2 linked regions of the Arabidopsis thaliana genome follow. The protein of the gene in region 2 interacts with the protein of the main gene of each other region in a pairwise test. Each region holds a gene or a part of one and is shown on either strand. Other genes may lie near its edges. The genes, in order: AT2G18750 and CAM7.

Region 1 (3,926 bases), on a different chromosome or scaffold from region 2:
CACGTGTCCTTAGCTTATTATTATTGGTCTGACACGTCTTAAGCTTATCTCTTTTTTGTGACGTAAAAGTCTGTTGTGGACCTCATATGTAGACTGTCTTGAGCCTTTTATGTTGTAACACTGAGCCTCAGTATATTAAAAATAAATCTTTCTCTGAAAAAAAAAAAAAAAAAGTTAAAAACCTACGCTAAAAAATTCTAGGTCTTGGAAAAGAGTATTTGGGCCAAATGATCACATTAATTAGTTATGGGCTGAAATAACATTCTGAAGTTTTATGAGGACCGAGAGAACTAAGTTTAAGAAAAATGTTGAAAAAAGCGTATTAGCAGAGGGACAAACGCTTTTTAGGGTTTTAGATTTCCTCTGAGAGAGAATTTTCGAAAGCTTGAGAGAGATTTCCAACTACGTTAGCCATGGCGAGCACCAAAGTTCAAAGGATTATGACCCAACCTATCGTACGTTTCTTCTTCGATTCCTTTGTTCCATCTCTTTATTGTTTCTATCGAAACCTAATTTTGTATCTTGCTTTTTGTTTTCCGGTGGCGGCGGCTCCAGAACTTGATTTTTAGGTTTCTTCAAAGTGTAAGTTGTTCAATTTCTTCTGATTTGCTCTCTGAGGTTTTAGGTTATTAGTAGTTCGTCTACTGATTTGTTCCCTGGTCTTTTGTGTTTGTGATGCAGAAAGCTAGGATCCAGATTTGGCTATTTGAGCAGAAAGATTTGAGGATTGAAGGAAGAATCACTGTAAGTTGATGTTGAAGCTCCGTTATCATGAATTGATTAGATTCCTGGCTTTGTTTATAGGACATTCGAGGGTTATGCTAACTTTAGGAGAGTTTGAAATGCATTAGCAGTGTGACTATCTCTCTAATTTAGTCTGTGTTTGAACTGTTGCATTTGTTGTGAATTGAAAAGGGATAGTTGTCACTGTTACTACTACTGCACAAAGAACTGATAAGAGCCTGCCAATAGAAACTAGTTTGATTAGCTAGCTGTTCTTAGGTTGAGTATGATTGTGTCATTCTCTTCGGCTTAAAACTTATTGTCTCCTACAGCCTACTTGGCTTTGGGTGTTACTTGTTTCAGTTTGTTGCTATGCTTGTAGTTGTATGTCCTCTATGATTTTCGAGTTATGATTCAAGCATTCAAGCTTTTCTTAGTTTGATTCTATGATAATTTGGAGAAACTTGAGATTTTGTGATGGTGTCATTCTCATTGGCTTAAAGGTTTGAGTTGTCTACTTGACTTTTGTTGTTCCATGTTGCAGTCTACTTGACTTTTGTTGTTCCTCGAGTTAAGATCCTAGCTTTTCTGAGGTTGATTATATGTATGGAGGAACATGATATTTGTGATAGTGTCACTCTACTCGGTTTTAAACTTAGATTTTTGTCTACTTGAATTTGGGTGTATTATTGATTCTTCTAGGAGAATCCATCAAACCTTGCTTATCCGTCGTCCTTTGCAGGGTTTTGACGAATACATGAATCTAGTTTTGGATGAGGCTGAAGAAGTGAGCATCAAGAAGAACACCAGGAAACCACTTGGTGAGTTATCCTGAACTCACTCTTTGATAACAAGTCTCAGATCTGTCTGCTTATGGTTTGATAACTCGTGTTAATACCTATTTTCAGGAAGGATTTTACTCAAAGGAGACAACATAACTCTGATGATGAACACGTAAGTAACACAATCTCTACTCTGTCTTCTCTCTTTATGATGTATAGCAGCTTGATTTGTCACATAACAAAAGATTGAAACAAAATCCTTTCTATGTTAACAGGGGAAAGTGATGTCTGTCTCAAACAACTCTCTTCGATGACCTTCAAGCTTATGTTAAATATCTGTTGAGTTCTTCCTCAGCTTAATTGGTACTTGACGATACCTTCTTTTCTTCAATGTCGTATAATATATTGCAATGTAGTGAGTGACAAAGGAGCTTGATCGAATCTAGTGGATTGGTTGGTTAAAACTTCAAAAAAGAGATTTGGTCCCTTTTGGTTAAATCTAGTGTTATGTAATTTGGCTGATCTTTGTTGCAACTTTTTAACCTCTGTTTAAATTTCAAACCTTAAAAAAGTAAAACCAATTGATTTTGATTATAAAAAAAATTGTATCATTTTTGTTTGTTTGGTGAACTGACCGAGTTGGCCATTCTCAGGGCTCAAGTAGATTGAAAGTTTAATTATACTAATAGACCAATCAGAATATAATCTGTTAAAGTTAACATAAAAATACAGAAATCTATGTGAACATTAACTTTTCATTGCAATTAGATGTTTTTATATCCATGTTGATTGTTGAATCTTATCCCTAATCTTGCTATTGGTGAAATGAATGTATTTTTACTATTAAAGTCTTTTTTTAATAACAAATAATTGGACTTTATACAACAAAGTATTATTATTTAATTATCAACTTTAGAATATAGCATGTGCCAAAAATACATACACTAGCCGCCGGCCCAAGAATGTCGTCCAATAAACGAAAAGCAAAAGTGACGGCAATCCAAGCCTACTGTGATCTTGTCCGCACCCGATAACTATCTTTAATTACTAAAACTAGTCAAAGTACTCGACTAATCACAAAACTAGACAAGTGTTTCAAGTAAATTAATTTTTGATCTTTTCATTTTATCTCTCTCTCTTTTTCTTCTATCCAAAACACCATTTTTGAGGTATTTTTCTCTCTCCTTCGAATCGAATTTTCAGGTTTCTCTTTCCGTTTGTTTGAAGAAGCTTTTAAGTAGAATTCATAAAATCTTGCTTAGCTTCTGGGTTTGATTTGTTTGTGGTAAAGTTTTGATTTTTTTTTTAGTTTGAGAGCTGGATTTGTGATTCTTTCTCTGGGTTGGTGAAGTTTTTTACTTGCTTCGATCTTATAGATCAGAGCTTCTAGCAGCGTAAAAAATGCAGACGAGGTATATGGAGAGGACTAATAGTATGAGAGAGAAGAGAAAATTGGAGGAAGATGATAATCAGCAGCAGCAGCAACAGCCTGAGCGTAAAAGGCCAGCTCTTGCAAGGTAATTTGTGTTGATGCTTGTAATTTTTCTGATTATTGATTATGGCGTTGTTGAATCTGTAATTGATTTGTAGTTGTATGAATGAAAAAAGGGTTGTTATGTATATTGATTGTCTGTGGATTTGAGAAAGTTGTGTATGTGTTATTGCAGTGTAATTGTGGAAGCCTTGAAGATGGATAGTTTACAGAGGCTTTGTTCTTCTTTGGAACCGATTCTTCGCCGAGTGGTTAGCTTAATAAGAATTGTTTACATGTCTTTTGGTGCTTTGTGTTGTTTCTTTGGCTTACTGATTTGTTTTGTGAGCATTGTCAAACAGGTAAGTGAAGAGGTGGAGCGGGCATTGGCAAAGCTTGGCCCTGCAAGACTTAGTGAAAGGTAACATATGACTGTTTTAAAAAGAGATAAAATTAATGGTTGGAGTATTTGTGGTTTTCTTCTAATGCTTGAGTTCACAGGTCGTCTCCAAAACGAATTGAAGGTATCGGTGGAAGGAATTTGCAGCTACAATTCAGGTCTAGATTGTCTGTTCCTTTGTTTACTGGAGGGAAGATAGAAGGGGAGCAAGGTGCTGCAATCCATGTTGTACTGTTGGATATGACAACTGGACATGTTTTGACAGTAGGACCTGAAGCTTCTGCAAAGCTTGATGTTGTTGTGCTTGATGGTGATTTTAACACTGAAGATGATGATGGTTGGAGTGGAGAAGAGTTTGAGGGTCATTTGGTGAAAGAACGTCAAGGGAAGAGGCCTCTCTTGACTGGTGATGTGCAGGTCACGTTGAAAGAAGGTGTGGGAACATTAGGGGAACTTATCTTTACGGACAACTCAAGTTGGATTAGATGCAGAAAATTCAGGCTGGGTTTAAGGGTCTCTTCGGGTTACTGTGAGGGAATGCGTGTACGCG
Region 2 (3,926 bases):
TGATTCACATGAAATCGTTAGACAATAATAAGGATAGATCAAAGCCATCCTTCGACTAAAAAACCCTTTATACCTTCAACATACCTATAACGAAGGGAAGTCAATCATAACAAAAAGAACAGAATGATCCATACCAAAAAGAAGCTCTATGATATAATACTAAGAAAAAGCAAACACCTTAACCTCAACGCAATAATCTACCATCAAAACAATAACGGGAACAAACAATAGATCAAAGCTATATATCCGGCAAGTCAAAATTCCTCTGCATTTCTCGCATTTCACACATACCTATTCAAAAAGAGCTACCATCACAAACATAAAAAAAAGTCAGAGAAGCCTCCAACAATAAGAAGTCAGAATACAAAGGGAAACATATAACTGCACTGTTTATTAACAATTGTCTTGTGAATTCGTGTTATACCGTTACTTAATAACAATTATAAACTATAAAATATAATTTTTCTTTAAATAGATACAAGTTGTAAACCTTAATATATACTAACGTTAAAATCGCCTAGACCAACGTTTGGACATCAATATAGAATATCAGGTTACATCAATGTATCAAATTCAATATGAAATATCAAGATACCATAACAATAATACAGAAATATCAAATTCAATATGAAAATCTGATTTTTGCTTTACTATTAGCAGAAAATTCATGATCTGGACATAAGTAGTTAGTAGATTAGCCTAAGTTAGTAAAAATTAAGTTACAAACCTAAAAAACAAATTTGTCACAAAACTAGAATTTTTTTATTTTTTGGAATACGGGTTAAATCTTTAATTTATTATTTTTAGCACCACTTATCAAATCAGTCTGATTAGAAAAGATTATATAAAATCAAAAAATATTTTGTGGTATAGTGCTACTTAATAATAATTGTAAACTATAAAAATAATTGATGACAATTATATAAATTTTTTAAAAATCGTAAAATCAACGCAATTGGCGGGAAATTTTTCTACAAAAATTTTCTACTAAATTACGGAAAAACCGTAAAATCATTCTCAATCGTCTACTAATATTTATTGTCTAACCATTTTCTTTCTTGTGTTATAATTTTGAAATGTGATAAAATAAAGAGAATTTATAATAAATGATTATAGATTTGAAAAGAATGTACAAACTAACCTTGAGTCACAGTAGCTTGTCGGAAACATATTGGAGAACACATGTAATTACATAAATATCCTTTGTAACATGTTTTTTTTCCGAAATACATGCGATAACATAATATCTCTTTTTATCTTGTTATTTTCTCTTATTACATAGTATTTATAAAAAGCACATGGTATTTTATGGAAAAAACATTCTATTCAGTTTAATATCTCTTTTTATCATGATATTTTGTAGTAATACACATTTTTTATTAAGATCACACGTGATTTCTTTAAAAATATATTCTTATTTTTTAGTAATACACGGTTTTATTAAAATCACATATAAATTTTTTTTAAGGATTATGTTCATGTAAGAAAATTTCATAATAATGTTTTTTCTTAAAAATTCATGACGTTTTTTTAAATAGCATGTTTTAAAACTAAATATAACATGTGAAATTTTAATGTTACATGTTATTTTGAAAAATTACACGAATGTGTTTCGTTTACAGTTCATCTTACAACAAATGAAAGGTAGCTTTGTTATTTCATTTCTTCCGACAACATGGGTCCATGGTTATTTTGTAACAAAAAACTTTCTCTCTACTAGTTTCTTAATTTGTATGTTTTATTTGGTTATCTAATATTACCCTAAAATAAACTTAGCAAATAGAAAATGAATTTTATCAAATTGCCTACACCAATGTTTGGATATCAATGTATAATATCAGGTTACATCAATATATATCATACCAAGATACCATAACAATAATACAAAAATATCAAATTCAAAACTATTAGCAGAAAGTTCATGATCTGGACATAAGTAGTTAGTAGATTAGCCTAAAATAGTAAAAACTAAGTTGCAAACCTAAAAAACAAATTTCTCCCAAAACTAGAATTTCTTAATTTTTTGGTCTGAGAAATTAAAAGAGAAAGACGTTTAGGAGGGCAAAATCGTCAATTCAAAAATACCTCATTTTACCTGTAGCTGGTGAGATCTCATTTTATAAAGGAGAAGGAACATTCACTCTCACGCGCTTCAACTTTCTCCAGAAACAAGAAAATATCACAGCAAAAATTTTCTCGAGAAAATCCGAAGAAGACAAAAAAAATGGCGGATCAGCTAACCGATGACCAGATCTCCGAGTTCAAGGAAGCTTTTAGCCTATTCGACAAAGACGGAGATGGTCTCTTCTTCTTCTTCTTCTTCTTCTTCTTCTCTCAGATCTCTTTCTCTTGTCGTTTTTTTTTTAGATTTCTTCGCGGTGATCGTGAATCTCTGCACATTTCGTTTATTGTTTCATGTGATTTGAAGAACGATCTCGTTTTGATTCGTTCAGTCTTGCTCACATCTCCAGAGTGTTTAGGGTTGATTTTTGCTTCTATAGAAGGATCTAGAATATGTAGAATCTCCTTTAGTATATTCGTTGATGATTACTAAGATTTGTAGTTATGGAATCTTGTTTAATTAGGTTATTCATCATATTCTAGATCCTACATTGGAATCGTACATTGGAATCTAGTTGTTTCTCTGTGATTTACTATGATTCTGAACAAATCCTGTGATTATAATCATGCGGATTTGTACGTTCTCACAAAATTTAGTGGCATTGTGGTTTTAAGATTCAATTGTAACATGTAGATTTATCTGCAGATGTTTATACTCAAAATCTAAAAAACGAAATTTGGTTTATTGTGTGATGTTGCCAAATAGAAAAATAGAGAAAGAAGTTGATAATATCATCTCTGTTGTTCTTCTTTACAATAGTTGAGAACTTGCAACGGTGTGCATTTTGTGATGCTTATTGGCAATACCATCATATTTAGAACATTGTGCATTTCCTGGCCTTTGATTAGAAAGAGGCTTTAAATGTTGCTTGGTGGTTTGTGTGCAAAAAGTTTCTTTGTTAACTTGGTAGATGTTTCCCGAACAATCAGTTTTACTTGTCGTATACTATGATTGGGGTTTAAGAGTATTTTACTAAGAGCATTTTTGAGCTTTCTTGTGAGAATAGGTGCATTTCCTGGCCTTTGATTACTAAGAGAATAACATCATATTTAGAACATTGTGCATTTCCTGGCCTTTGATTACTAAGAGAATACCATCATATTTAGAACATTGTGCATTTCCTGGCCTTTGATTAGAAAGAGGCTTTAAATGTTGCTTGGTGGTTTGTGTGCAAGAAGTTTCTTTGTTAACTTGGTAGATGATTTCCGAACAATCAGTTTTACTTGTCGAATCGTCGTCCTTTTAAATGAGATATACTATGATTGGGGTTAGTAGTGTAAGGATATTTTACTAAGAGCATTTTTGAGCTTTCTTGCATTTGAAAACTTGACATATTACTTGTGTTTAAGATAATTGGTTTATATATCTTCCTGATCTTGTTGACAATATTAGTGTTCATAAAGTTATACTCGGAACTCTTGCGTTACAAAATCTGAAGTTGTGTCCAATTTTGGTTTGATTGCAGGTTGTATCACCACAAAGGAGCTTGGGACTGTGATGAGATCACTTGGGCAGAACCCGACAGAAGCCGAGCTCCAGGACATGATCAACGAAGTGGATGCAGACGGGAACGGGACAATAGATTTCCCAGAGTTCCTGAACCTAATGGCACGTAAGATGAAAGACACTGATTCAGAGGAAGAGCTTAAGGAAGCCTTCAGGGTTTTTGACAAGGACCAGAACGGTTTCATCTCGGCGGCTGAGCTTCGTCACGTGATGACAAATCTTGGGGAGAAGTTGACGGATGAGGAAGTCGATGAGATGATCCGAGAGGCTGACGTCGATGGTGATGGTCAGATCAACT

Evidence for each region.
Region 1: the proteins of CAM7 (region 2) and AT2G18750 interact in a two-hybrid assay, tested with the Arabidopsis thaliana proteins (one study listed by BioGRID).

Annotation. Positions count from the first base shown.
Region 1 is NC_003071.7:8,122,921-8,126,846, forward strand, and holds the start of AT2G18750 (Calmodulin-binding protein), read left to right. Parts: upstream 1-2,207; 5' UTR 2,208-2,674; exon of another isoform or gene 2,675-2,881; 5' UTR 2,882-2,906; coding exon 2,907-3,022; intron 3,023-3,172; coding exon 3,173-3,248; intron 3,249-3,338; coding exon 3,339-3,397; intron 3,398-3,477; coding exon 3,478-3,926. Other genes in the region: AT2G18740 (Small nuclear ribonucleoprotein family protein), read left to right, coding at 414-455, 556-582, 682-744, 1,466-1,544, 1,632-1,677, 1,781-1,790. UniProt on the Arabidopsis thaliana protein: Transcription activator that binds DNA in a sequence-specific manner, likely 5'-GAAATTTTGG-3', to promote the expression of target genes.
Region 2 is NC_003074.8:15,664,654-15,668,579, reverse strand, and holds the start of CAM7 (calmodulin 7), read left to right. Parts: upstream 1-2,110; 5' UTR 2,111-2,224; coding exon 2,225-2,300; exon of another isoform or gene 2,301-2,946; intron 2,947-3,099; exon of another isoform or gene 3,100-3,587; coding exon 3,588-3,926. UniProt on the Arabidopsis thaliana protein: Calmodulin mediates the control of a large number of enzymes, ion channels and other proteins by Ca(2+). Among the enzymes to be stimulated by the calmodulin-Ca(2+) complex are a number of protein kinases and phosphatases. Activates MPK8 in vitro.